Linked DNA regions of Macaca mulatta. The protein of the gene in region 1 interacts with the protein of each later gene in a pairwise test. Links are inferred from orthologs where the notes say so. Each region holds a gene or a part of one and is shown in the gene's direction. Other genes may lie near its edges. The genes, in order: LDOC1, NXF1, BYSL, TASOR2, RAB29, LENG1 and FXR2.

Region 1 (3,451 bases):
GACAGTGATGAGAGCACAGCAGAAAATGGGAAGAGGCACAGGATAGAAGGAGGGGCCTTGTAGGCCTTGGCTGCAACTTTGCTCTTTATTCTGAGGTGAAACTACTGGAGGATTTTGAGCAGGGGCGTGAAGGGATCTAACTGTTTTTTGTTTGTTTGTTTGTTTGTTTTTGTTTTTTTTTTTAGAGATGGAGTCTCGCTTGGTAACCAAGGCTGGAGGAGTGCGCTGGCGCTATCTCGGCTCACTGCCACCTCCGCCTCCCGGGTTCAAGCGATTCTCCTGCCTTAGCCTCCTGAGTAGCTGGAACTACAGGCACCTGCCACCACGCCCCGCTAATATTTTGTATTTTTAGTAGAGACAGGGTTTCACCCTGTTAGCCAGGATGATCTCGATCTCCTGACTCGTGATCCGCCCTCCTTGGCCACCCAAAGTGCTAGGATTACAGGAGTGAGCCACCGCGCCCGATTCCTGTGGCTACTCTATGGAGAATATACTATAGGAAGAAAAGAGTGAAAGCTAAGTGATTAGTTGCAGCAGTCTGGGTGAGAAAGGCTGGGGATCAGGGTGGCAGTGGTAGAAATGACAAGTCATGACTGAATTGGCAATATATTTGAAAGCAGAGCCAACAATTCCTGTCGGCTCTAGGGATCCGTTTAAAGTAGAAAAACAAAATTATTTAAAAACACAAACATCTTAACAGTTCATTTTTAAGTACAGAATAAAACCCAGTGGCCAAAGGCACTAATAGCAGGACAAGAAATAGAGAATCAAAGATATGTGGGATGCCTGCAATTGATTATTGGATGCTGATTTTGCAAAACTTCTTTATATCCTGCTACTTAGGTTTGTTTTTTTTTGTTTGTTTGTTTTAAGGGAGTATGCCATATTATTCCCCTACTAAAGAAGTCACTGTTTAAATACTGCCTTTTTCATGAAAGGCAGGAACCCCTGAAGGTCTTCATGATCCTAAAAGGAAGTGTGAGTCCCACAGTGCAGCCAGCAGTGTCAATACTTCTCTGAGTGAGATTTAAACAAGAAAGAAAATGTGTTAATAAAACATCACGCCAAGAGAATCTAGTGGCCACAGACCCACGAAGGAACAACTGAGTTGTGAGAGTTGCCTAGGTAGAAGGGTGGCTAATCCTTTCAGTTTGAACAAATTTGCCTTCTCTGAGACCAAACTCAGCGCTCGCCAGGTCCTCTGCTAACGCAGGCCCCACAACCAGGAGCTAGGGGAGCCTACCCCAGCCTTTAACTGCCCGCCTAGAGACCTACCACAAGCCGGTGGTTCAGCGACCCAATGCATCCTTTTCCTGGCCACGCCCTCTTTGTCTAAACCCTTCCCATCCCGGCCACGCCCCCACGCAGCCGCGGCCGCCAGTCTGGCCACGCCCCTCCCGCGCCGCGCCGGCGCACCATCCGTCCGAATGGCCTCGTGGGCGGAGCTTGCGTAGCCTCCCGGACCCCGGCGCGCACCGCCCCCCGCCCCCAGCCCCTGGCCATCGAGCGTCTCCGTGGACACGCACTTCCTGCGAGGCCTCCGTGCGCACCTTGGCCGAGCCGAACCGAGCCGAGCCCTGTCCTTCCAGGCTGTTCGCAATGGTGGATGAGCTGGTGCTGCTGCTGCACGCGCTCCTGATGCGGCACCGCGCCCTGACCATCGAGAACAGCCAGCTCATGGAACAGCTGCGGCTGCTGGTGTGCGAGAGGGCCAGCCTGCTGCGCCAGGTACGTCCGCCGAGCTGCCCGGTGCCCTTCCCCGAAACGTTTAATGGCGAGAGCTCCCGGCTCCCTGAGTTTATCGTGCAGACAGCGTCTTACATGCTCGTGAACGAGAACCGATTCTGCAACGACGCCATGAAGGTGGCATTCCTAATCAGTCTCCTCACCGGGGAAGCCGAGGAGTGGGTGGTGCCCTACATCGAGATGGATAGCCCCATCCTAGGTGATTACCGAGCCTTCCTCGATGAGATGAAACAGTGCTTTGGCTGGGATGACGACGAAGACGACGACGACGAGGACGAAGAGGATAATTACTAGGCCCTCGGGCCTCGGGGGGAGGGCCCTGCACGCCGTCACCCCCTCCCCGCAGCCCTCACCCCGCCAGGAGCCAGTGCTCTCCCCCTTGCCCTCCGGTCCCCTTCCCTACCCGCGCCCGTCTGCTCTTTCTTCATTTCTCCGTAGTGCTTGTCTTTGTTCCAGGAATAGTGCTCCAGTTACCTGCTGCTGGGGTTGGGGCTGGAGCCTCACTCACTCGGAAGTGCTTGGAAGTGTCATCTACCCTGGCCATCCCGGGGATCCCTCCCCTGCTAATCTGAACTGTGTCCTGAACCCCAGCTATTGGCCAGGCCCCTGTTACAAACTGCGCAGACCACCCATAGCCCTGCTGCTGCCACCTGCCCTGCTGCCAGGCTTACATCTGCCCAGAGAACTATGCTGCCACTTCACATCCACTCACCACATCCCACCTACAGACTACCGCCTTTCGAGATCAGGACCAACCTGGAAAATGCCAGAGTTGGCTCTGCCTCTTCGGACATTGATTTGGACAGCTCACCAACCCCTGAAGAGGCCAGTCATTCAGCCTGGTTAGTTTTCTACCTACTCCGAGTGTCCTCCCCTGCCATACCAGATTGCTGCAGGGGCGCGGTGTGCCTGACAGCCAAATTGTTGATATTTCTTTTTTCCTATGCACTGGTTTTACACAGCTGTCATTTTTCTTTCAAAATTGCAGCAGTCCCACAGATGTATGCATTTGGACAAATAGTACTAAAAACAAAACAAACAAGCACTCAGCCCAGCTCCTCAATACTACCTGGAAAAAGCATTGGCATTATTTTCAATAAATATCAAGCACTAAAAAACGAAATGATTGTCTTTTAATAGTTAAGTGCTATCACTGACCTCTAGAACTGTCACTGTGACTACCGTTATTCCCATGGAAATCAGGGAATACAACCAATCCTAGGAATCCCTGCTGTCAACTCCAGGCTGCTGGGGACAGCTACCTCAGGGCTTTGTCAGGGTTCTGATGCTTCCTTCACCAACGCATTTCTTAAAGCCCTGGCAAAGGGTGTGTTCTCTGGGTCCTCCAGGGTGGCATGGGTAAGGGTTGGCTGAGCAGATGGCAAAGAGGGCAGTATTAATAATTAGACCGTAACAACAGGCATAAACCAGGACATATATATGTATTGCTCCTAATTCTCTGAGCTTTTGGATTCCTTAATATTGTGCCAGGGAAGTTCTGCCCCTTAATCCTTATTGCCTATATGCAGCTGTTGAGTTCAGGCTCCAGAGAGCCAACATAGTACATTGTCACTTTCAAACTCCAAATAGCCAACATGTCACTTACAGGTGCTCTAGCTAACATTAAGTCCCAGATCCTGGGCAAGTGCATCCATAAAGATATACCCTGATCTTAACAAACATTTCATCCTCCTTGGGCAGACAT
Region 2 (4,440 bases), on another chromosome or scaffold:
CCTCACTAGCCATGTCATCATTTCTGGGTGGGAGCGTCGAAGGGCCTAGGCAGCGAGTGGAGTGAGCCCACTGCCCAGTACCAGAACTGAAAGGGTTGGGCTAATGGCTGTGCCAGGTATCACTGCTGAGGCAGGCTATTTTGGGCTCTGACACACAGCTGCCTCTAGACAGGGGAGAACCAAGTGTTGCAACACTTGATTAGCATGGAAACTTCCTTTCACACAGAAGCAGGATCCCAGAGGGGGTCCCTGATTGGTGGCAGCTTCCAAGACCATCTCAAACAGTGTTTGGACCTGTTTCATCTGTATCCTCCAACTATTTGGCCGTAATTCTTCCTTGAGCTAAGCAAGGCAGAAGCTCTGCCTGCTGCCAGGAGTGGAAGGTGAAGAATTTGTTCCCAACTCCAGTTGAGGCTTTTGATTCCCTCAAAGCACTTCACCAAATCAAAGCCAGTCACAGAGAATGGAGGAAACACCTGCCCAAAATACCCACCGTCCAGAGAGATTAATGTGCTTTGTTCTTCCTGACCAAGACTCGCAACCACATTCTGAGGACGCTCCAGTGCCCCTGTCTCATACATTCCAAAGGAAGCTGAAGCTATAGAGACAACAATCAATCAGGGGCTGATGGTGGTGCTTTTGGGGGTCTAGGAGAGCCCAAGGCCCTGATATTTTAAAATGTCCTCCTCCTCGGCATCTCCAGCAAGTTGCCACTGCTGGTGAGCTTCACTGTCTGCCCCGTTGACACGATGGGTTTCTAACAGGGGACGCCATTGATGGAAGGTCTGTGAAGACAATGCTCGGCAAACCCCTGACAGATGTCGTCTCATTTGACTCAGCAACTCAGGGTGGGGTGGGGGAAATTCACAGAATAGAAATTCATTTATTTCACAAATACATGTTGAATTTTTACTATGTGCCAGGCATAGTACCTGCCGAGTCAAGCCCTCGAGGGAAAAAAAGCCTTTAGTCAACGTTCGAGCTCACATTCTAATTCTCAACTTCGTGATTTGTTAATCCATCTTATAGGCGAAGAAAGCGAGGCATAGACAAGGAGCCGAGCTGACACACTGGCTAGATGCGGGTAGGGGTCTGAGCCATCACTCCCACCCGGAGGCGCGGTCTCCATTCCTCGGAAGCCCTTGGTACGGCCCCGTTCCCCGCTGAGTTCTGGGCTGCAGCGGCAGCACTCTGCTCTAGCACTAACTCAAGCTGCCAGGGCAGCGTCAGCGGACAGATGAAAACATGCGGGGACCTGCTGGCTACCAGCCGGGGTTCCGCAAGCTCAGGTCTTGGGCGGGGCGCGGAGGGTCAGGCCCCGCCCCTCGCACGACGGCCTTAAGTGTGCGCACGCGCAGGGGGTCGCGCTTTCTCCGGGCGGCGACACCGCCTCCAGCCTGGGACGTCAGCGGCGCGCGACGTGCTTTGCTATATAAATGCGGTGGCGCCCGGCGTAGGGACACTTCGGTCCTGAGTGCTTGGGCGTTCGGTCGTTTGCCGGCGTAGCGGCCAGCGCTTGAGCCCGCCCTTGCTCTTCGCTGTGGCATGGCGGACGAGGGGAAGTCGTACAGCGGTCAGTGCTGGTCCTCGGGTCGGGAACCGGCTATCTGGGGCGCGGGTGGGCGGCGCCGGCCTAGGCCTCAGCCTCCGGGGCGTGAGGCCGCCAGGGGCCCGACGTCCGCGGGGAGCGGCGCGCGGGGGGTCGGGGGCACTCGAGGTGGATTACCGAGTTGTTGACTCCTGGATTCCTCCTGGAATCCTGGTGTTGGGGGACCTGCGGCTCGGAGCGGGTGGCTCGGGGGTAGGGGGACGGGATTCCTTTGAACTTTGTGGGTGGTTGATGCCTGTCAGTTCGGTTTGGCGGCCTGACTCTTCCTTTAATGTGAGTTAGTGCCCTACTCATGGGCTGCCCTGGTGCCCTATTTTTTACTGCGTCCAGTCGGTCTTGAACCCTCGGGCCTGGGCTTTGGCTTAATATTCGAGACTTACACATCAACTGGATGTTCCAGTCTGAACACTACACTGGGTGTTAGTTCTTTGTAGTAGTTAGGAGTGCATGGTGGAGGTTGAAACCGTGAATTTAAAACTCTCCTCTTCCACCCCTTTAAAGTGGAATAACAACAGTATTTCTTAAGAGTTGGGGGGGAAGTAGGGGGGAAAATGAGATCATTCCTATCAAGTGCCTGAAGCATAGTGGCCGGTACTGGAGAACAGTTCTCAATGAATGTTAGCTGCGCCTTCTGTGTTCTTTTTTCCTAGGGTCATTTGTTGAGATTCATTGTTTACAGAGTGCTCGGTATTAGGCAGATCTCTTTTGGGAGTTAGGGACCCTTTTTAAGACGCTAGTCCTGCACAGCATGAATCAGATCATATTCCTGGAGAGCATTCCAGGGTCCCTGGTTAAGCACCCTAGCCTGGCACTACCACTAGAGCCTGAGTCTAGAAATTGTCTCCTGAGTTAAAGGGCATTTCTGGCCAAGGAATCGAAGAGCTCCTCAGAAAACTTCAAAGTGGCAATTTGAGAACAAGGAGAATTTTTAGAGGATCCTTAAACTGATCATATTTGTAACTGGCATCTGTACTGTATAGACAAAGTATTGAGTGGCAGATTTCAGGTGGCTTTCAGAGGTCTGATTTGTGTTCACTTACACTTTGGGGTCTCACATTTATACATTCTGCTTCTAATTCCAGTTTCTACTTCATTTTTCAAAAGCCCTGCACAGATTTCCAATAACTTTTCCTTGATGCTGACCTCCCACAGAGAGAGTTCTTTCCTGTGGACAGGCAGCGGAGTTTGCATGGAGATGGCCTGTGTAGTTAGTATGTATCTCTTCCAGTAGTTCAGAGTAGAAACTATGATTGCCACACCAAGCCGGACCAGTTACTTCTAATTTGTGTTCCTGTTTCTAACTCCAGAACACGATGATGAACGCGTTAATTTCCCTCAAAGAAAGAAAAAAGGCCGGGGTCCCTTCCGGTGGAAATATGGTGAAGGAAACCGTAGGTCTGGAAGAGGCGGTTCTGGTATTCGGTCTTCCCGCCTGGAGGAAGATGATGGAGATGTGGCAATGAGTGATGCCCAGGATGGTCCCCGAGTACGATAGTAAGTGACCAGTTGGTCTGGTTTGAATTTAGTGGCTCATGAGATTATATGGCCCTTTTACTGTCCATGTCATTTTCCTTCCCACCTGTTATAGTGAGAAATGCCAGGACTAGCTTAGCGATTGAACAGTCTTAGTTTAGTCCCGCCAACACAGTGCAGGAAGGTCTTTGAGAAGACTTTCCTAGCATTTGTGGTCATTTTATCCTCTGTTTACCCACAGCAACCCCTATACCACCCGACCTAACCGTCGGGGTGATACTTGGCATGATCGAGATCGCATTCATGTTACTGTGCGGAGAGACAGAGCTCCTCCAGAGAGAGGAGGGGCTGGCACCAGCCAGGATGGGACCTCAAAGAACTGGTTCAAGATTACAGTGAGTACTTTGAGCAAGTAGATGGTACAGTAGAGATCGGAGGCCACGCTCAGAGTAGAGATGTTTAATTTTATTCCACAAAAATTATTCTTTTTTTTTTTTTCGAGACGGAGTCTCGCTCTGTCGCCTAGGCTGGAATGCAGTGGCCGGATCTCAGCTCACTGCAAGCTCCGCCTCCGGGGTTCACGCCATTCTCCTGCCTCAGCCTCCCGAGTAGCTGGGACTACAGGCACCTGCCACCACGCCCGGCTAGTTTTTTTATTTTTTAGTAGAGACGGGGTTTCACCGGGTTAGCCAGGATGGTCTGGATCTCCTGACCTCGTGATCCGCCCGTCTCGGCCTCCCAAAGTGCTGGGATTACAGGCTTGAGCCACCGCGCCCGGCCTTTTTTTTTTTTTTTTTTTAATGGAATCTTGCTCTGTCATCCAGGCTGGAGTGCGGTGGCGTGATCTCGGCTCACTGCATCCTCCGCCTCCTGGGTTCAAGCGATTCTTCTGCCTCAGCCTCCTGAGTAGCTGGGACTACAGACACCCACCACCACGCCCAGCTAATTTTTATATTTTTAGTAGAGACAAGGTTTCACTGTATTGGCCAAGCTGGTCTTGAACTGCTGACTTCGTGATCCGCCCGCCTTGGCCTCCCAAAGTGCTGGGATTATAGGCATGAGCCAGCGCGCCCAGCCCAAAAATTATTCTTGTTAGCTGATTACGCCATAGTCAAGTATCTGTCTCTTCTCCTAGGAATCAGTATCTTCCAACACCTTAGAGCAGGTTCAGAGAAGGGGTGGAAGAGAAATACGAAAACTGTGGTTGTGGAAGGAGTAATTCCTCTGGATGTCTTCATTTGGCTCAGGCTGAGTATGGGGCTTGGAGTCCATGAAGTTCTCTGAGGGACAGGCAAGGTGTAAATAATATCTTGAAACTTTTAGAATAAAAAAAATTGATTTTTTTTTTTTTTTTTTTG
Region 3 (3,726 bases), on another chromosome or scaffold:
CAATGACAGGGGTGGGCCACCATGCAGAGGTGGTCGTGGACCCTGAGGATGAGCGTGCCATAGAGATGTTCATGAACAAGAACCCTCCTGCCAGGTAGGTCTGGGGATTTGGGATAATGGGTGCTTGTAGAAAGTTCCCACAGGAAAACAAGTTCCCTGGCAGACTTACGATTCCCTACTTTAGGAAAGGGCCCTGGAGTTGCTAGTTGTAGGGGACCACCTTGACAAAACTGGCCCATCCTCAGCAGACCACTGTGAGTGGGAATGACCCAGCCTCAGAAAACATTGTATCCTTCTGTCCATTTATTGTACAACTGCCCAGTTGCCAGGGAAACAGCTCCAGGCCCGTTTTATACTTCTGGGGAGAGCCATCCTATTGCATCTGGTTTTGGTATTCTTGGTTTTTTTAGTGGTAAGCTCAACTTCCTTGGACAAGTGTTCATATCCTAAGCTTCATTTAAGCCAGGGTTTTTCAACCTCAGCATTATTGACATTTTGGGCTGGGTAATTTTATATGTGTGTGGAGGCTATCCTGTGCAGTGTAGGATGTTTAGTAGATATCTCTGATCTCTACCTTCTAGGCTCCAGTAGCAACCTTCCCTCTAATTATGAAAACCAAAAATGACATCAAACGTTGCTAAATGTCCTCTGGGAGGCAAGACTGCTCCCAGTTAGGACCACTAATTTATTCCCATCTATAATAAATGCTGGCTCCAAAACATGCAGGCATTTAGACTGCCTGTGGTCAAACTCCTGAGCCCATAAATTTTGGCCGTGGGGAGTGGAGTCTAGGATAAGGGTCCTCAACCAGTTCATTCTGACCCTGTGATACTAACATAATGGTGTCCCTGATACTTTAGACTGTTTGGGGTTAATGCATCTCTCATTGCTAATTGTACTGTAAAAGGACAAGGAGGCTGATAAATTCTGTGGCAACTTATTTGAAAATGCAGAATGAAGAAATAAAAATGAGCTCCTCTCCCAGATTGATGCCTAACAGTTGAAATACGTGTCACAAAATACGTACTCGGGCCTGTCCCACCAGAGAGCCTCTCAGGTTCTCATTCAGCACCTCATAACTCCTACTTCACTGATAACGCTGACAAATTTAGCAGAATGCTTTTCCAGCTTGCAGTAAATAGAATAGACAAGCTCCTTGAAGTAATCAGAACTTCTGGCAGTTGTAAGAAATGATAGCTGGCGTCTTCAGAAAGCAAGCCTAGATCCACATGAATTCAACAATCAGAGGCCATTTAGTTTGGGGGCACATTATAAGGTACTATAAAGCATCTTAACTTAAGACTTTCAAAAACCTGAGTTTGACTCTTAACCCCACCTGACGGCTGTGAGGCCCAGTTGCCATGTCTGCGTAAGTTTCCATGTCCTATAAGTGTTGCACTGACTCTGGGACTGAAAAGTCCCAGACTCAGTGCCTGGCGTTGAGTAGGACCTCAGAAAAGAGGAGCAGTTTGTTTTTTGTTTTGTTTTGTGACAGGGTCTCACTCTGTAACCCACACTGGAGGGCAGTGGTGTGATCTCAGCTCACTGCAACCTCAACCTCTCGAGTAGCTGGGATTACAGGCGCACACCACCACGCCTGGCTACTTTTTGTTTTATTAGTAGAGACGGGGTTTCACCATGTTGGCCAGGCTGGTCTCAAACTCCTGACCTCACGTGATTCACCTCCCTCAGCCTCACAAAGTACAGAGATTATAAACACGAGCCACTGCACCCAACTGAGGAGCTTTAAATACATGTCAGTCTGGGCATGGTGGCCCAGACCTGTAATCTCAGCACTTTGGGATCCCAAGGCAGGAGCCCAGGAGTGTGAGACCAGCCTGGGCAACATGGGGAGACCCCATCTCTACAAAAGAATAAAATACGGCCGGGCGCGGTGGCTCAAGCCTGTAATCCCAGCACTTTGGGAGGCCGAGACGGGCGGATCACGAGGTCAGGAGATCGAGACCATCCTGGCTAACCCGGTGAAACCCCGTCTCTACTAAAAAATACAAAAAACTAGCCGGGCGAGGTGGCGGGCGCCTGCAGTCCCAGCTACTCGGGAGGCTGAGGCAGGAGAATGGCGTAAACCCGGGAGGCGGAGCTTGCAGTGAGCTGAGATCCGGCCACTGCACTCCAGCCTGGGTGACAGAGCGAGACTCCGTCTCAAAAAAAAAAAAAAAAAAAATACATGTCAGTCTGGGCATGGTGGCCCAGACCTGTAATCTCAGCACTTTGGGATCCCAAGGCAGGAGCCCAGGAGTGTGAGACCAGCCTGGGCAACATGGGGAGACCCCATCTCTACAAAAGAATAAAATACGGCCGGGCGCGGTGGCTCAAGCCTGTAATCCCAGCACTTTGGGAGGCCGAGACGGGCGGATCACGAGGTCAGGAGTTCGAGACCATCCTGCCTAACCCGGTGAAACCCCGTCTCTACTAAAAAGTACAAAAAAAAAAAACTAGCCGGGCGAGGTGGCGGGCGCCTGTAGTCCCGGCTACTCTGGAGGCTGAGGCAGGAGAATGGCGTAAAAACCCAGGAGGCAGAGCTTGCAGTGAGCTGAGATCCGGCCACTGCACTCCAGCCTGGGCGACACAGCGAGACTCCGTCTCAAAAAAAAAAAAAAAAAAAAAGAATAAAATACTAGCTGGGCCTTGTGCTATGTGCCTGTGGTCCCAGCTACTTGAGAGACTGAGGCAGGAAGATCGCTTGAGCCAGAGAGATAGAGGCTGCAGTGAGCCGTGATGGTACCACTGCATGCCAACCTGGGCAACAGAGCTAGACTCTGTCTCAAAAAAAAATAAATAAATACACTTCAGCAGCCTCTGAAGGCACTGGTATTATATGACAGCTCAAGGTGATAGTAATGCTGAATCATTAAGATAATGTTTGATATACCCAACAATACTCTGTTTAAGGAAGCTGAAAAGAACATAATCAGTTTTAGAAATACTTCCATAGATACACTGCTGTGTACTGACCGTTCCAAGTAATGAACAGACATTAACTTATTTAATCCTTCCATTAATCTTTTAAGGTGGGTACCGTTATTATCCCTATTTTACAAATGAGGAAACAGAGGCATAGAGAGGTAAAGTAACATGCCCAAGATCATACAGGGAGTGGGTAAGCCAGGATTTGAACCTGGGCAGACCGATTTCAGAATTGAGATTCATAATAACCTCCATACAACTGCCAGCTTTGTCCTAAATGGAATGACTTTCAGTTCCTTTGCACCCTGCAGTGATTCTGTCTGTGGTGGATGAATGGGCACAGAGAGGGAACTCTGAGCTGCGCATCCCAGCAGGATCGCAGTATGTCAGTGCTCACAAGGGACTGTGGGGAATCTGGAGCTTCCTGGACAGTGACCACAGTGCTCCTTCCTTCCTCTCTCCCCTCCCCTTGGCACTTCCCCTCTTAGGCGCACCTTGGCTGACATCATCATGGAGAAGCTGACTGAGAAGCAGACAGAGGTTGAGACAGTCATGTCAGAGGTGTCGGGCTTCCCTATGCCCCAGCTGGACCCCCGGGTCCTAGAAGTCTACAGGGGGGTCCGGGAGGTAAGAGCTGAGAGGGGAGCCACAGTGGAAGACCCCTTTGGGGGCTGTGGGCTCCCGCCACAGGCTTTTGCCTTTTGCCTGCATCTCATACTAAAGAAGTCATGGCAGTAGAAAACAGACCTAAGAGGCAGAGTGTGTGGTTTCAGATTCCTGCTCTGCCTGTAAATGACT
Region 4 (3,726 bases), on another chromosome or scaffold:
AAATTGCCTAAGGTCACATAGAAAATTGTCAAGCCAAGATTCCAGTCTAGAAAACCTAAACGTTAACTATGTATGTGCTTTTTTTCCCTAAAGATAGGGTTCAGCAGTTCCATCCTGTTCTCAAAGAATTACGTAAAATCCAGTTAAGAATCACCACCTTAGAATAAGAAAATATAGTTTAATCAGGGAGGTTTAGATTAAAACGTATATACATGCTAGTTTCTTATAAAATACCATTTGTTGTGGTAATATATAATTAACTATCATCAGTACTAATTTTAGCAATGACTTTGGCAAGCCTGACTGTTCAAATCAATGATTCCTAACAATCTCCTTAGTATGTACTTACATAGGTTTTGGTTTTTTGTCATCTCATTGAATGCTGTGCCTGTACTTGAAAGGCACACAAGTATGCTATCACACTCCCTCCACCAGTTGGCACACCGGAATGTGAAGGGGATTCTGGCATGATAGCCACTAGAAACCAAGAGCATGTTGCTGCTAGTCATGTGTTTAGTTGAGCACTCTTTCTGAATTATCAGACTTTATTTTAGAAGCATTACACTTTACCTGCAGTAAAAATATATCGAAATATAAATATATCAAGATTGTCACGATTTGCATTTCACTAAGAGTACAGTCATGGTGAGATTTAGGACTGAGGCTAAACGTTACCAGCCACATGATTGGGAGGGCCATTAAAGTTCTCAGAAGGACACTGACTATCAAGACTTTTCTAATACTTTGTTCTCTTAAAACTCTGGTGTCTCAGCCCCACGCTGCTGACTCTGACTCTGTTTTTTTGTTTTGTTTTGGGAAGAAGTCTTGACTCATCCCCCAGGCTGAAGCGCAGTGGCACTATCTTGGCTCACTGCAACCTCTGCCTCCCGGGTTCAGCTGATTAAATCACTCCTGCCTCAGCCTCCCAAGTAGCTGGGATTTCAGGCGCCTGCCACCACACCTGGCTAATTTTTGTATTTTTAGTAGAGACGGGGTTTCACCATGTTGGCCAGGCTGGTCTCGAACTCATGACCTCAGGTGATCTGCCCACCTCGGCCTCCCAAAGTGCTGAGATTACAGGACTGAGATTTTGTTTTGTTTTGAGATGGTGTCTCTGTCGCCCAGGCTGGAATGCAGTGGTGTGATCTCGGCTCACTGCAGCCTCTGCCTTCCGGGCTCATGTGATTCTCCTGCCTCAGCCTCCCAAGTAGCTGGGACTACAGGTATGCACCACCACACCCAGCTAATTTTTGTATTTTTAGTAGAGACGGGGTTTTCCCATGTTGGCCAGGCTGGTCTGGAACTCCTGACCTCAGGCAATCCACCTGCCTCGGCCTCCCAAAGTGCTGGGATTACAGGCGTGAGCCACTGCCTCGGCCAGAAACTGTTTGTTTGTTTTGTTTTGTTTTGTTTTGTTTTGTTTGAGACAGAATCTCATGAGCCACTGCCCCGGCCAGAGATGGGTTTGTTGGTTTGGTTTGGTTTTTTTTGAGACTGTAGCCTCTGCCTCCCGGGTTCAAGTGACTCTCTGCCTCAGCCTCCCGAGTAGCTGGGATTATAGGCGCATGACACCACACCTGGGTAATTTTTATATTTTTAATAGAGACTAGGCTTCACCATGTTGGCCAGGCTGGTCTTGAACTTCTGGCCTAAAGTGACCCGCCTGCCACAGCCTGCCAAAGTTCTGAGATTACAGGTGTGAGAGGCCATGCCCTACCTAAGACAGAAATGTTTTTAACAAGAGATTTTGAACACAGTTCCTGATTTCCAACATGTACGCTTCAAGACGTGGCAGGCAGTTTATAAGCATGGTGTTTCCAGCATTGCAGAGGTATGATCAGTTGTATCATCAGTTCATTTTATCATATGCTGGACAAGACCATGCTTGAGGCTTTAAATAAAACAAAAAAACAAACACCAACCTGTTTATGAGGTTATCAGAACTGTCCTGAGATGATAGCTCTGCTAATGTTTAACCTAAATCCTGCTTGCTACTGTTTAAATCAGCTCCTTTTAGTTCAGTTTATGAATGCAAACCACATTGATAAGTTTTCAATTGCCCTGTACAATAGGAGGTATTAAGATGAGAAAGAAAGTATCCCCAGTTTTATGCAAAAAAAGATAGCTAAGGGATGAGGGGCCTTTATTTACTAGAATCAATGTATTCTGAGTACAGGGGATAGTGATTAATTTACTGTGTTGCCTCATGGGAAAGTTTCAGATGATAGTGTACTTATGGTCTAATTGAAAACGGATGTTAAAAATGTTATTCTTTGCTTTTTAAAAATTATCTTTTAGGCTGGGCACGGTGGCTCACACCTGTAACCCAGCACTTTGGGAGACTGAGGTGGGTGGATCACTTGAGGTCAGGAGTTTGAGTCCAGCCTGGCCAACATGGCTAAACCTCATCTCTACTGAAAATACAAAAATTAGCTGGGTATGATGGCATGCACCTGTAATCCCAGCTACTCAGGAGGCTGAGGCAGAGAGTCACTTGAACCCGGGAGGCAGAGGTTGCAGTGAGCCGAGATCACTCCACTGTACTCCAGCCTGGGTGATAAAGCAAGACCCTGTCTTAAAAAAAATAAAAATAAAAATAATCTAATTTATTAAAAACAAAATTGAATGCTTTTTCTCTAGTGCTATACTTCTGGATTAAGTGGTGCTAAGTAGCAAACAGGCTGCATTTAAAGTCTTAAATTGTCAGTAGTCTAGCTATTTTTCTTCCAAAAAGCTCATTTAAAAAGAGAAAAAAGCTTCAAAGTTTAGAAAGTTTTGGAGTTCTCCTCTGTGTATGGTTTTAAAGAAAACAAATCCCATTGGGGGTATTTTAAGCCTGCCTTTAAAAGAGGGATTTGCTTGATTTGTACCCTGCGATATTTTCAGCTAGAAAATTCAAAAGAACATTCACAAACTAAAATTAATTTTTATCTTTTCTGTGCTTCACATGTACATATAATTGTATAAAAAACATTTTATGTGACTGATTTTTTTTGTTTTTTTACTTTAGCCATTTCAGGTAATGGGGGAAGAAGCTAAACAAGAATCATTAGATAAACTGGAGACTTCTAATCTTGCGCTTTCTGGTGTTGGAAGTACACGAACTAATGGACCCTCTGTTCCTAATGAAGAAGAAATTGTTCAGCCACTGGATAGCACAAGAGTGGCTTCTTACAGTGGCACTGTTACTCAAACCACATTCACCAGGACTTATGATGGGACTGGTAGTCAGCCAGTGATATGTCAGAGCTCTGTGTGTAGCACCCTTGAAAACAAAGTGGATGTTCCTGATGCAGCAATGCAAACAAAAACAGGTACTTTACAGGACCTTATCCAACATGGCAGCCCCATAAACAATGAATGTCACCCTTCCTTGGAAAGAAAGGATGATAATATGGAGTGTGCAATGATTAATCCAGAACCAGTTACTCTCATATTTGAAAAAAATACACATGTACCATTACAGACAGAAGCTGTAAATACAGCTGATGAACCTACAACCTTTAATAAGGAGTTGATTAAGCAAGTATCACCTGCTGCAAGCCTTAGACATCCTGTATCCACCTCGGAAAAGGCACAAACACAAGGCCTGAGGGACATTTCCTCTCTAGTAGTTGCAGGACAGAAAGGCTCTAAGTACCTTTGTGCCTCCTCAGTAGGTAGAGAGACGCTTGATAAAGAAGTGTGTTCATTACAGAAAGAGATGCCTCTTCCAGTCTCATTACC
Region 5 (4,175 bases), on another chromosome or scaffold:
GGGATGGCGAAAAACCTGAAAGAAAAGGATAATCATCGGAGAAGTAGGGGGATGACAAAGAAAGAGCAGTGTCATAGAAGGCATAAGGGAAACAAATGTCAAGGAGTGGTCAAATATGTCAAAACGAATAGGAACAGAGAAAATTGGATCCTTAAAGATGAGTAGCCTGGCCTAACCTCCTGTACCTGAGTAACAAACATTCTGGGCAAAATATATTGTGAACCACGCTGATGTTCTTTCCCCACAAAACATAAGTGATAGCCTCTCTATCAAGAGACCTAGGTAAGATTTCATAGTGTCTGGTCCTGGGCTGTTTTCCCATGGTCCTGCTGGTTCTTTTCTTCTGTTTCTAGAAAAAGTCTAGAAAATGGAGCTCTCTTTGCTTGCCATTGAGCTCATGTCCTGCCAACTCCTACCTAAGTGACAGGCAGGTCAGTAAAGTTTCAGGCTGAAAAATTAAAATTATTTGCCAAACACTAGTTTTATGATTATCTATTAACAACAGCCACAATGAATCGAGAAGGATTCCCAGTGTATTTCAATTAGCCTCTACCTCAAGTGATACATGAGTAGTATGGTTAGAATAGGCATTGCAGAAGTATGAATGGGGAACTGTCTCTTGTTTTCTGTCTATCTTTATTGTTATTGCTGGATATTAAATGCTGTAACTTTTGGCATATGTTTTTTCCAAAGAATGGTCTCTTGGGTCAAGTTTTCCTGAACTTGCCTGGTATTGGGCAAGTTCATACAGAAAATATGAGTCATTTCACAAAGTCCTGGGCTTGTCTATCTATTTGAAGGAATAGGAAATGGACTTCACTTGGAGCATTATGGATGAGGCTTGGACTTTTACTAACGAAATAAGTTTTAATCTTAACTCCGTTAAACCTTTAAAGACAGGAGAAGACTATGTGGGGATGGATTCAGGCCAGTGAGATCACGTTGCACAAATCTCCTCTTAAGTGATCTTAACTGACCCAGAATTGTTTCAGAATAAGATTCCGAACTGTTGAAGGAGTTTTGAAGCCTTGAAACTTTGTGTAGGTTGGCTTAAAACGAAAAAAAGAATACACTACATTTCCCAGGAGGCTTCGCGGGTGAGCCTCCGCACTCGGCTGGTTCTCTTTACCGCGAGGAAAGCTGGGGAATGTAGTGCTCCAGGCAACCCTGCACGTGACGCTGGCGGAGGAAGGCTAGAGAGAGGCGCGGGACGACGTCTAGGGAATAGAAAGGTACCGGCTGCTCCTTCCTGACAATTTGGTATGTGCTGCAAGGGGAGGGTCCTCATCATCTGGCCCCAGTGGTGTAATGAGCTGACTGGGATTCAGTCACTGACTCGCAGCCGCTCCGGGAAAGTCCTGGTGGGGAGGTTCCGAGGCGCCTGGTCCCGTTTCTCGGCAGTCAGGCCAGGAGGGGGTGGGGAAGGTGCGAACAGCCGGGGGCTCGGAGCTTGCGCCCTGCGCCCCACCCAGGTTGCGGCCGCCGGGGGAGGAAGCACGTATAGGTTGAGTGCAAAGTTTCCTTTTTTGCTTTCTCGTCAGAGCAGCCCACACAGGCGGTGGGTGGGAATGCCCACTTCAGTTTGAAGAGGGTCCGGAGCCAAAGGGGTTAAAACAAGCGACTCCCCCACTTCCCGCCTCCCTAAAACGCACGCCCCGCTAGCCATGGGCAGCCGCGACCACCTGTTCAAAGTTCTGGTGGTGGGGGACGCCGCAGTGGGCAAGACGTCGCTGGTGCAGCGATATTCCCAGGACAGCTTCAGCAAACACTACAAGTCCACGGTGGGAGGTGAGACGTCTTTCGGGGGAGGGGGAGGAGGAGGCCTCGACCGCGGACTCGAGCTGGGGACCCAAGTGGGATCCGGATTTGCTGTCGGTTGTTGGGTCCTTCTTCGGGTCAGGAAGTACTGTCTGGGAACCTAGATGGTGTAATTGCCGGGTGTTTCGTTTACACGCCTCTCTTGAGTTTCCCCAGTTAGATTTTTCCCAACCTGACCCCACTGCCAGGAGAACGGTAAGAACAAAGGCGTGAAGATGAGAAATAGGGAAGGGAGGATGAGGATAAGCAATTGCTGTTTATTGCAGGCGCACTGTGAACTCAAGTCTCCAGCCTTTCAGCTGTCTGGCATCTCTCCAATCAGCAGAAGCAGCTGAGATCCTCTGGGGGCCTCCTGGTTAGGTGCCGGCTGGGGCTGTAGTTCTGCACCTCTGTTGAGGAAGGAACCGCAAGGTGTTTAACCTGGCTTCAGTGGGAGAACGCAGGAAGCGGAACTGGTCTGAAGGACTCTAGCTTTGTTGTGGGGCTGTGGGTGGGATGGAAGACACAAAATCCCCAAACGAGCCCCTTGGCTACGCAGTCAGATGCCCATGAGGGCTGATGAGCTGTGTTTTTGTCCGTTGATTGCTTAAATAAAAGTAACCAAGGAATTCTTCGAAGAATGTGAAATATACCACTTCTCTGACCTATCTTCCCACCACTTTTTCCTCAAACTGAAGAAGGTAGGGAGGAAGAGAACACTGAGTTCATTCCTTTCTTTCCCGGGTATGGCTTTTTTACTCAACTATTTTTTCAGAGGTAGAAATGCCTTATTGTTAATTAGAAGGTATTTAGGAAGAGCTGGTGATGGGGGAGAGTAACTTAAAATTTTCTCTCTTAAAAGAACTTGTTTTAAGGGGAGAAAAACGTACCAATGGAAAAAGTGAAAATGTGTGCTCCTGTTCATACGGAAGTTTAAAAAGAAATTAAGCATTCACATTGCAATTAAAACATTCTCCTTAAGAACCCCCAGTAGGGCCCAGTGCAGTGGTTCATACTTGCAATCCCAGCACTTTAGGAGGCTGAGGCAGGAGGATTGCTTGAGCCCAGGAGTTCGAGAGCAGCCATTGGAAACATGGCAAGACCCCACCTCTACAAAAATTAAAGAAAAAAGTAGCCGTGGTTCCAGCTACTCCGGAAACTCAGACTAGAGGATTGCTTGAACTCAGGAGGTCGAAGCTTCAGTAAGCCCCGTTCGCACCACTCACTGCACTGTAGCCTGGGCAACAGAGTGAGACCCTGTCTCAAAAACAAAGGAACAAAACATTAAAGTCTGGCAAAATTAAAGGTTCAAAGTTTCAGACACACTATCCTGACCTCTCTGCCCTTCCACTCCTAAATAATATAAGGGTCCCTATTTCACGGATTTGGGTTAAAATTGGCCTTCTATTAATAGTTAATTTTTAACAATTGCTGTAGTTTTCCTTTAGCAAAGAATATAATTGACTCTGGCTAATTTTTTTTTCAGTGTTTAGTCTAAATTTCCCTTAGTTTTGATTCCTGTTACAGATGTGAAAGATAATATTTCCAAACCTCAGAAATTACTGTGTTTCTCTCCTTAGCCAAAAGCTTTTCCCCATGGAATACTTAGCCTTAAGGAGTCTCAGCATCTGCAGACTTTGTGGTAGATTCCAGCAGGACTCTTCAGCAACATCCACACAGTGTCTTCTTGGGACTCCTCTGGGACCTTTTCCGTTTATTCCATTCTTGCCCAAGATAATACCTGCAACCTTATGGTGGATGTAGAGTTCCCCAGGGTGTGTTGTTTTCATAATACAATTTGATTAGAAACCAGCAGTGAAATTGAATGTGGAAGATACAGAAACAACCACACTTGTCTCATTTCCCCCTTCTCCCCCATCACCCCTTCCCTGAGAAAACCCCCTAAATCTCCCAGAAACTGTTTAACCTGAGAATGAGAGTTGTTTTCATAGTTACTCCCACCCCCAGTCTTGGAGACAAGTAGTAGCAAACAGATGAGCTTGACAGGAGAGTAAAAGCTGGAAACCCCTTTGGAGAGTGAGTATGAACCATCCATCTCACACTTAATACACACGTGTGGACTCATCTCAGTGAATTGAGGGCTTAAAGATAAACATGGGATTCGAGTTGTGTGTCCATCGGGTTGTCACTGCCTATTTGATTTGAGTTTATCCCTATTCATTTTTTACAGTGAAATTTTATTAAGGTATAATGTACATATATTTTCAGTGGATTTTGCTCTGAAGGTTCTCCAGTGGTCTGACTCCGAGATAGTGCGACTTCAGCTGTGGGATATTGCAGGTAAAGTGGGAGGGCTGGATAGGAACGAGGGAAGAAATTTTGATTTAACCAGGAAAATCTGAGGAAAAAAAAAAATG
Region 6 (4,422 bases), on another chromosome or scaffold:
CTCCAGCGTTCCCCTGCTTTACAGCATCTTCCTGTAAGTGCGAGAGGTTCCCGCCTCTCTCCCTCCCTCTCCCCCCATTCAGTGTTCAGACTCCTGGCTCTACTTGAACCCAGCCTGTCTTGACTTCAGGATCCCGCCTTCTAAGCCGTGTGGTCCATTCCGGGGGCAGTCGTCCATCTGGGCCCAGATCCCTGAGTCTATTTCCAGCCTCCCTGAGACCACCCAGAACTTCCTCTTCTTCCTGGGGACCCAGGCTTTTGCTGCGCCCCTTCTGCTGATCTCCAGGTGAGGTGGACCAGACTTCTGGGTCTGGGTTTGAATGCGTGTGATCTGGGGGCCACCACCTGCGTCCAAGAGAGGAAAGGCTTGGGGGTGGGAGCAGGCAATGTACTGAGTCTGAGGGAGGAGGCCTAGGCTCCTGGACTGCTGGGTCCGAAGGAGGAGGTGGGCGGGACTTAGGACTCCTGGATCTGAACGCGGAGGTGCTGGGAGACTGAACTCCTTGAGCCTGGACGAGGAGGGACTTAGGGGTCCACATCCCTGACTTCGAAGAGCGTGTCAGGAGTGGCTTCCGTTCCTGTCTCCTCCAGCATCCTGATGGCGTACACTGTGGCTCGGGCTAACTCCTACGGACGCCTCATCTCTGAGCTCAAACGTCAGAGGGAGACGGTGAGCCAGGCGGGTCCCTGAGAGGGCCCCCGGGGAACACGGAGAGGGGCTGGGGAAGAGGGCTGTCACACCTCCACCTCTCTTTGCCGCAGGAGGCGCAGAATAAAGTCTTCCTGGCACGGCGCGCTGTGGCGCTGACCTCCACCGAACCGGCTCTTTGACCCCCGCAGCTCACGCCCCACTTTCAGACCCCAGGCCCATTGTAAGCCTAGGTCACAACATCTGTAAACTAGGAGAACTGGAGAAGACTCCACGCCCTTCCAGCTTTGATATCTGGAGATTTCCAGGGCCCCTCGCCGCCACGTCCCTGACTCTCGGGTGATCTTTCTTGTATCAATAAATACAGCCGAGGTTGCTGAGCGCGCTTTGAAATCTGCGTCCTGAAGGTGGGGGCAGGGCTACCGCAGGGCAGGAGCCAATCAAATGTATGGGCATGTTTGTCGGTGCGGAGCGCACTTCCGCAAGGAGACTTGACGGTCATGTCGACCAATCGACGGCCGCATGTGGTAGCATCGGGGCGGGCCAACTTATGATTGGTTCAGATCTGTGATAAGAGGCGGTTGCTAGGGGATACCACGAGCCGAACGCCTAACATTCGCTGTGAAAAGGACGTCTCAGCCAATCACCTGTCGTTACAGGCCAGGGGGCCGTACCAACTAATTCGGAACCAATCTGCGGTCGAAGTAGGGACAAGAGGAAGGGGGGCATCCTCTCGCCAATCGGAAGTGCAAAGAGGCGGGCGTGCCAGTCCCTGGACAGCTACGACGCCATGAATATCTTGCCCAAGAAGAGCTGGCACGTCCGGAATAAGGACAATGTCGCCCGCGTGCGGCGTGACGAGGCCCAGGCCCGGGAGGAGGAGAAGGAGCGTGAGCGGAGGGCGCTGCTGGCTCAGCAAGAGGTAAGCTCGGAGGCCGGCCGGGCTGACCGCCGGAGCCCAGCGCGCACGCGCCGCGGTTGGGGGCCGGAAGCGGAGGCGTTGCGCAGGCTCAGTGTGCCCCGTGTGAAATTCGGGACCAGGCGCCGATCCCGTTTTCGAGGACGTTGCTCTGCAAACCTTGTGGCCACTTCCACGAAACCTCCCTTGATCTCGCCTTCGTCTTAGTTTCCCCCCACTGATGTATTTCACATGGCTGGAACAGTGTCTAGCACAAAAGAGCAGCTTAAAAACATTTAATGAATACATGAGCGCTTGGACAGTTCAAGGAAATTCGGATCACGTTTTAGTTTGCCTGCGCAGTTTATTTATTGAGCACCTATTGTATGCTAACTACATGCAGAGCGCCTGACTTGCGGAATCCCCAGGAGGCACTGTTCGTTCTTAGAGGGGCACTGTCATCTCCGTTGCACGGAGTGAGATGGCTTCAGTGAGGGGAAGGCACATTTAAGGAGAGGGGGACAGCCAGGCTCCACGCCATCGGGCGAGCCCTTTCCTGCACCGCCCCCTAGACACATACACACAAACACGGGCTTTCTGTATGGCTCCTTAAATCTGTTTGGTGTACACCCAACTTTCAGTTCCTTAGCTAGTCTGATCCTCCACAGTGGGTGGGAGGTAGTCTGGGTTTTTAGAATCTCAGTAGGCTGCTGAGCGCTGTTTGAAATCTGCGTCCCGAAGGCGGGGGACAGGGCTTCAGCAGTCGACTTGGGGTAGTGACTTGGAGCCATGGCTAGAATTCAGATCGTCTGGCCTAATGCAGTTTGGTCTACCTTTATGGCTGTTTTAATTGTCTCACTTGAGGTTAGGAACCCCTTTGGTTTAGGCCAGGGACCTCCTTCCAGCCATCCTTGATGACCCGTGGTTTACGATTTGAAAGGCAGTTTACAAAACCCAGGCGTTGCCTCATCTGCCTACCCTCACCCGCAGCTAGGACAGGTGCCTCTTTTAGGCGTCTAGTGCTCCCTTTCTTATAACCCCAGCACCCTGGACTGCCATTTTCTGTGGTGGGCACCAGACTCACAGTTCTTGAATCACCTCTAGGTTCTGAATGCCCTGCCTATAACTTTCTCCCCAGGCCCGTACAGAATTCCTACGAAAGAAAGCCAGACATCAGAACTCACTGCCTGAGCTTGAAGCAGCAGAGGCGGGAGCCCCAAGTTCTGGCCCTGTGGACCTGTTTCGGGAGCTGCTGGAGGAAGGGAAAGGAGTGATCAGAGGCAATAAAGAGTACGAGGAAGAAAAGCGACAGGAGAAAGTAAGCTGGCCTCACCCACTTCATTAGAGGAGCCATGAATCGAGTTGGGGGGAGAGGGCACTTTAGCCACTGCTTGTGATCAAGGTCAAACGAGAACGAACACACAGAATTTAGAACCATACCAAAGCATGACACTTAAGAAGTGTTGCCATCTGGGCACCCACAGGGCTTGGAGGTAGATGCTAGAGGTCCCCAGCTGCTAGGCAAACTGCTCAGTTCTCAAAACTGGAGGGGTCTGAAACCTTGATAGGCTTTTAAAAATGTAAATCAGCCAGCTGTGGCTCATGCCTGTAATCCCAGCACTTTGGGAGGCTGAGGCGGGTGGATCACCTGAGGTCAGGAGTTCAAGACCAGCCTGGTCAACATGGTATCTCTAAAAATACAAAAAAATAAGCCAAGTGTGGTGGTGCACGCCTGTAATCCAGCTACTTGGAGGCTGAAGCAGGAGAATCGCTTGACCTGGGAGGTGGAAGTTGCAGTGAGCTGAGATTGCGCCACTGCACTCCAGCCCAGGTGACAGAGCGAGACCCCATCTCAAAAAAAAAAAGAGAAAAAAAAAAAAAGGCGAATCATTCGCCTCTTGCCTTTTGGCTAAGATCAAGTGTAAAAAGTATGTCTGGTCGTGCATGGTGGCTCACACCTGTAATCCCAGCACATTGGGAGGCCAAGGTGGATGGATCACCTGAGGTCAGGAGTTCAAGACCAGCCTGGCCAAACATGGCAAAACCCCGTCTGTACTAAAAATACAAAAATTAGCCGGGCATGGTGGTGCGTGCCTGTAATCCCAGCTACTAGGGGGGCTGAGGCAGGAGGATTGCTTGAACCTGGGAGGCAGAGGTTGCAGTGAGCCGAGATGGTGCCACTACACTCGAGCCTGGGCAACAGAGCGAGACTGCATCTCAAAAAAAAACAGGTACATGAGCTCTTGTCACTCACCTGCTGTCTCTGGACTTGCTGACCCCACCCATGGCTCCTCTGCTTTGCTTGATCCCTTCAGGCTTCTCTTCAAGTCTCTCTGCAAAGATGCCTGCCTCTGAACACTCAAGTGGCTCCACTTGTCCCCTCCTTCCCCTGCTGTTACCTGCCACTGTCCCCCCACGGGGAACTTGGCCTCTGTTGGTGTCTTCCATCCCCAGCACCTGGTACAACTGGTTCATGACAAGCCTTAGGTACCTGTTTGCTTAGATTCCTATGTCAGGGAGACACACCTGACACCTTGAAAGATTATATCCCATCTCTTGTATTTCCTGGCCCCCTCAGGAGAGGCAAGAGAAAGCTCTGGGCATCCTGACGTACCTGGGCCAGAGTGCAGCGGAGGCACAGACTCAACCCCCTTGGTACCAGCTACCCCCAGAGCGAGGGGGGCCCCCTCCTGGCCCAGCCCCAGATGAGAAGATCAAGAGCCGTCTGGACCCTCTTCGGGAGATGCAGAAGCATCTGGGGAAGAAGAGACGGCACAGCGGTGAAGGCAATTGCAGCAGAAAGGAAAAGAAGGAGGGGTCTGAGAAGCTGCGACCCAAGGAGTAAGAAGGAAGACCCTCCTCGGCAGACCAGGGCC
Region 7 (4,228 bases), on another chromosome or scaffold:
TCCTGCCTCAGCCTCCCGAGTAGCTGGGACTTACAGGCGCCCGCCACCTCGCCCGGCTAGTTTTTTGTATTTTTTAGTAGAGACGGGGTTTCACCGTGTTAGCCAGGATGGTCTCGATCTCCTGACGTCGTGATCCACCCGTCTCGGCCTCCCAAAGTGCTGGCATTACAGGCTTGAGCCACCGCGCCCGGTCTTATTCTACTATTCTTAAAACTTTCTTTCGTTTCTTTCTTTCTTTCTTTTTTTTTTTTTTTTTTTTTTTTTTGAGACGGAGTCTTGCTCTGTCGCCCAGGCTGGAGTGCAATGGCGCGATCTCGGCTCTCTGTAACTTCTACCTCCCAGGTTCAAGTGATTCTCCTGCCTCAGCCTCCCGAGTATCTGGGATTACAGGCGCGTGCTACCACGCCCGACTAATTTTTGTGTTTTATTAGATGCGGGGGTGGGGTGGTTCACCATATTGGCCACGCTGGTCTCGAACTCCTGACCTCAGGTGATCCGAGGACCTCAGGTGATCCACCCGCCTTGGCCTCCCAGAGTGCTGGCATTACAGGCGTGAGCCACCGCTCCTGGCCAAAACTTTCATTGTATCACAATCTCTTCAAGGCAAGAGCTATGACTTAAATCTACTACAGCACAGTTACAAATTCTTAAAAGATAGGCTATGCATGCGCGCAGACAGTAAAGCTCAGCGCGTGCGCACCGAGCACCTTTTTCCTTGCGGCGACTTCTCTTCTTTTTTTTTTTGGAGCGTGCGCACCAAGAAAGACAAAGGTGGGGAAAGTGACCAAGCAGTCGTTCAGGCGCATGCCCATCCCTAACTTGTCCGAGCCCGGTGGGGCAGGCGGCGGCGGCGTGGGTGTGGCCTGAGCGCTGTGTGACAGTGCGGCCGCCGCCCAATCGGACTGAGCGAGCCCGGCCCCTCCCTCCCTCTGATTGGTTGGTTCTCAGGGTTGTGGGGCGCGGAAAGGAAGAGACGGGGCTGCTGGGCGGTGGGGCGGTGGAGAAAGAAGGCTAATTTTGTTCTGCGCAAGCGCGAGAAAGCGACCAGGAGGGGGCGTGAGAGAGTGAAAGGGAATGTGGAAGCCCCGATGCGCTGGCTAGCGCTAGCTGGGGCTCTAACCTTGACGCCTGCGCCGTGGCCCTCGGGGCCCCGCGCGCAGCGGGCGGGTGCCCGGTGCGCCTGCGCAGTAGGAGGCGGTGGCAGGGGGAGGTGGAGGCTGTGGAGCGGCAGCGGCAGCAGCGGGTCCCGGGACTGAGGCAGCAGCGGGGGCGGCGGCAGGCGGAAGCTGAGGTGACGAAGGCAGCGGCGGCGGCGGCCGTTTCCCTCACGGTGGCGGAGACCAAGGCGGCGGCGGCGGACGGGGAGCGGCCCGGCCCCGGCCCCCTGCTCGTTGGCTGTGGCAGGGCCGCCGTGGGGCCGGCCCGGCTCCCGCCCCCCGCGGCTCCCCCTCCGGCTCCTCCTCCGGGGAGACGCCGGGGGCCTGGCCCGGCCCGCACTCAGACTGCTGCTGCAGCCGCCGCCGGGGGAGTCGGAGGCGGTGGCGGCGCCATGGGCGGCCTGGCCTCTGGGGGGGATGTGGAGCCGGGACTGCCCGTCGAGGTGCGCGGCTCCAACGGGGCCTTCTACAAGGTGAGACGGCGCGCCGACTGGGGACGCCGGTCCTTAGCCCCCTCCCCCGGCCGGAGCAGGAACGCGTGGGGCGGGATCGAGCTTCTGGAGCTGAGTCCTGGCCCTTAGAATCTTAGACCCTTGCTCCCACCCGCAGCCTTCCCTGAGAGACCTCTTGGAGTGAACCTGTTCCTTTTATTTTTGACCCCTTTAATGCACCTGCTTCTACCCCCATCTCAGGGAGAATGAACTTAAGGCCATTATTGTCCCTGGCTTGGCGCTCCCCGCTCCCCAGGAGAGACCCCTTTACCCAGCTTCTAATTGACTGTTTCCGTTGTCTGATGGAAGACATACCTTAGACCTTAATCACATCTTCCCCACGGTCCAGGCACATGGAGAATTGTCTTTCTTCTGCACGGTCCCCTTGGGAAGGCCCCCTCTGTCCCATATCGGATCCTTTCATCTTCCTCAGAGAGGCCTCTGCCTACTGACTCTGGAACACTCACCCCACTTTCAGCTTATATTCCGGTTCCCAAGCCAAGGAGAAATGGTCAGATCCATTTACGACGTTTGGCATCTTTGACCTCAGGAACCCTGGGTTGGATCAGTCAAGTTGCTTCTCAGCCAGCCATAAGGTGGCATCTTTCGCAAGTCTTTCACCCCACCACACCTTGATCTCAAGGCCCACTGGTTACCATTCTACTCAGAATGGATTTGAGGTCTCACTTAGACCTCAGATACCTTCAGGTCATTCTTAGAGTTTCTTCGTCTTGAGGCATGTGAGCTTCATAGTCATGATCTCTAAAAGGATCTCTAAAAGGAAGCTCATGGGGTTCCCTTCTGTTTTTCTTAAGATTTCCACTTCTTGAAGACTCTTGGCCAACTATCCCAGTTCGGGAATCTGACAACCTTTTTTGGAAGAAGGGATCATCTTTCAAAGACCTTTCCTTATTTGACCTCCCCCTTTGCCCAGGATTTGGTTCCTTAGAACTCCTTATAATACCACCTTCCTTATCTGCTCTGAATCCATTTTCTAGGACATTTTTTTCCCATTTGGATTAAGCCAGAGAGAACCCTTTCTTGCCTCCCAAGAGTTTTTCTTTGACTGTTGCTATTCTGAACCTCTTTTGGATTTGATGCCTGGAATTGTCCCAGAGACTCTCCTGATTTCTGTCTCATTCTTTGATTTCACCTTGGGGAGCTGTAGAAGAGATACCTTCCCATGGCATTACTTGTTAAGAGTAGATCCCCCTTCCCCCTTTCCTTCTGTTCCCCTCAGGCCTTTCCCCCCCACAGTAGCCCTCTCTAGTTTCTCATGCCCTTGGAAGTGTCTTTCTTTGACTCCTTCCCTAAGTCATATTTTCTGTAACTGTAGAGGGTCTTGTAATTTCCCTTGGGTGGTTTCTGCCTCTACTTCAGTTGCTAAGTTCATTGTAGTCTTTTTTTTTTTTTGAGACGGAGTCTGGCTCTGTCACCCAGGCTGGAGTGCAGTGGCACGATCTGGGCTCACTGCAAGCTCCGCCTCCCAGGTTTACACCATTCTCCTGTCTCAGCCTCCTGAGTAGCTGGGACTACAGGCACACACCACCACGCCCGGCTAGTTTTTTGTATTTTTAGTAGAGACGAGGTTTCACCGTGTTAGCCAGGATGGTCTTGATCTCCTGACCTTGTGATCTGCCCGCCTCAGCCTCCCAAAGTGCTGGGATTACAGGCGTGAGCCACCGCGCCATTGTAGTCATTTTTTACTTACTCTTCATACTTACCCATTTTTGCCTTACTTCCCTCATCAGATTTCTTTCTGTGCGGTGACTTTGGGTACCCATGTCTAACTTACTGTTTCAATTCAAGTTTTTGGCTTTTTCTCCTAATACTTCTGTATTCCTGTGTAATCCCCAGGGATCACCTAATTCCCTGTCTAGCTGAAGGAAGCTCCCTGCTGATCTCTTTTGTCATTTTCTGCATACTTGCCTAACTCTTGGGACTTTTTCTTCTAGCCTGCCTCCATAGCATTTCTGTTTTTTTTGGCAAAAGTCTCTAATTCCTTTCTGCTTTTGATAGAGCACATTTGTCTCTCATATCCTTTTCCCCAAACTTGTACTACCTTTGTTGAAATACGCTTCCTAAAGTGGCCCTCCCTGTTTCCCTCGGTATCTTTTCCTTCATCTGGGTCCTTACCACCCCAAAATTCTGAGTTCCAAGAAAAGTCATTCTTAAGTTGAGTCCAAGATCAAGATATGATGTTTGCTTTGTTCTAGGAAGCACAGGAGCCCTGCACAGCTGGGAAAGATTGGTATCCAGTTCAAATGAACTGTATGAGATGGCTGGGAAGGGACACGTTTTCTGTTCTACATATAAGTGTCCAGCAGAAAGTCTCTCTGAATCTTTTCCCTTTCTCCTGTGCGCTGTGGGCAATGATAGACTTGAGTACATCGGGACCAGGATACTCTGATTCAGAGAGTAGAGTCTGGGGTTGAGCTGAAAGCCAGGTAATGTGGTAATGTGGATCTGGGCAGGTTAGCATTTTCTGCCCCGTTCCTGAGTTAAAAACCACAAATCCCTAAATTCAGGCTAATCTTCCACTCTCAGTACCCTATAGATACTTATCCGTTTTGACCTTGC

The links.
Region 2: the proteins of LDOC1 (region 1) and NXF1 interact in binary tests that used the Homo sapiens proteins (3 or more experiments, as listed by UniProt). The two-hybrid records come from large-scale screens. The link is inferred for Macaca mulatta from reciprocal best matches to the Homo sapiens genes LDOC1 and NXF1.
Region 3: the proteins of LDOC1 (region 1) and BYSL interact in binary tests that used the Homo sapiens proteins (3 or more experiments, as listed by UniProt). The two-hybrid records come from large-scale screens. The link is inferred for Macaca mulatta from reciprocal best matches to the Homo sapiens genes LDOC1 and BYSL.
Region 4: the proteins of LDOC1 (region 1) and TASOR2 interact in binary tests that used the Homo sapiens proteins (3 or more experiments, as listed by UniProt). The two-hybrid records come from large-scale screens. The link is inferred for Macaca mulatta from reciprocal best matches to the Homo sapiens genes LDOC1 and TASOR2.
Region 5: the proteins of LDOC1 (region 1) and RAB29 interact in binary tests that used the Homo sapiens proteins (3 or more experiments, as listed by UniProt). The two-hybrid records come from large-scale screens. The link is inferred for Macaca mulatta from reciprocal best matches to the Homo sapiens genes LDOC1 and RAB29.
Region 6: the proteins of LDOC1 (region 1) and LENG1 interact in binary tests that used the Homo sapiens proteins (3 or more experiments, as listed by UniProt). The two-hybrid records come from large-scale screens. The link is inferred for Macaca mulatta from reciprocal best matches to the Homo sapiens genes LDOC1 and LENG1.
Region 7: the proteins of LDOC1 (region 1) and FXR2 interact in binary tests that used the Homo sapiens proteins (3 or more experiments, as listed by UniProt). The two-hybrid records come from large-scale screens. The link is inferred for Macaca mulatta from reciprocal best matches to the Homo sapiens genes LDOC1 and FXR2.

The regions. Positions count from the first base shown.
Region 1 is NC_133426.1:147,689,340-147,692,790, forward strand, and holds LDOC1 (protein LDOC1), read left to right. Parts: upstream 1-1,505; 5' UTR 1,506-1,599; coding exon 1,600-2,040; 3' UTR 2,041-2,855; downstream 2,856-3,451. UniProt on the Homo sapiens protein: May have an important role in the development and/or progression of some cancers.
Region 2 is NC_133419.1:11,250,321-11,254,760, forward strand, and holds the start of NXF1 (nuclear RNA export factor 1), read left to right. Parts: upstream 1-1,459; 5' UTR 1,460-1,545; coding exon 1,546-1,573; intron 1,574-2,916; coding exon 2,917-3,103; exon of another isoform or gene 3,104-3,134; intron 3,135-3,288; exon of another isoform or gene 3,289-3,323; coding exon 3,324-3,477; intron 3,478-4,440.
Region 3 is NC_133409.1:140,243,489-140,247,214, reverse strand, and holds part of BYSL (bystin), read left to right. Parts: coding exon 1-94; intron 95-3,416; coding exon 3,417-3,555; intron 3,556-3,726. UniProt on the Homo sapiens protein: Required for processing of 20S pre-rRNA precursor and biogenesis of 40S ribosomal subunits. May be required for trophinin-dependent regulation of cell adhesion during implantation of human embryos.
Region 4 is NC_133414.1:7,303,423-7,307,148, forward strand, and holds part of TASOR2 (protein TASOR 2), read left to right. Parts: intron 1-3,010; coding exon 3,011-3,726.
Region 5 is NC_133406.1:63,533,380-63,537,554, reverse strand, and holds the start of RAB29 (ras-related protein Rab-7L1), read left to right. Parts: upstream 1-1,230; 5' UTR 1,231-1,260; exon of another isoform or gene 1,261-1,361; intron 1,362-1,541; exon of another isoform or gene 1,542-1,546; 5' UTR 1,547-1,664; coding exon 1,665-1,788; intron 1,789-2,084; exon of another isoform or gene 2,085-2,273; intron 2,274-3,988; exon of another isoform or gene 3,989-4,026; coding exon 4,027-4,098; intron 4,099-4,175. UniProt on the Homo sapiens protein: The small GTPases Rab are key regulators in vesicle trafficking. Essential for maintaining the integrity of the endosome-trans-Golgi network structure.
Region 6 is NC_133424.1:66,391,081-66,395,502, reverse strand, and holds the start of LENG1 (leukocyte receptor cluster member 1), read left to right. Parts: upstream 1-1,415; 5' UTR 1,416-1,438; coding exon 1,439-1,570; intron 1,571-2,684; coding exon 2,685-2,864; intron 2,865-4,124; coding exon 4,125-4,387; intron 4,388-4,422. Other genes in the region: voltage-gated chloride channel TMC4, read left to right, coding at 1-33, 130-285, 591-669, 762-830.
Region 7 is NC_133421.1:9,102,871-9,107,098, reverse strand, and holds the start of FXR2 (RNA-binding protein FXR2), read left to right. Parts: upstream 1-1,399; 5' UTR 1,400-1,549; coding exon 1,550-1,630; intron 1,631-1,963; exon of another isoform or gene 1,964-2,011; intron 2,012-4,228. UniProt on the Homo sapiens protein: mRNA-binding protein that acts as a regulator of mRNAs translation and/or stability, and which is required for adult hippocampal neurogenesis. Specifically binds to AU-rich elements (AREs) in the 3'-UTR of target mRNAs.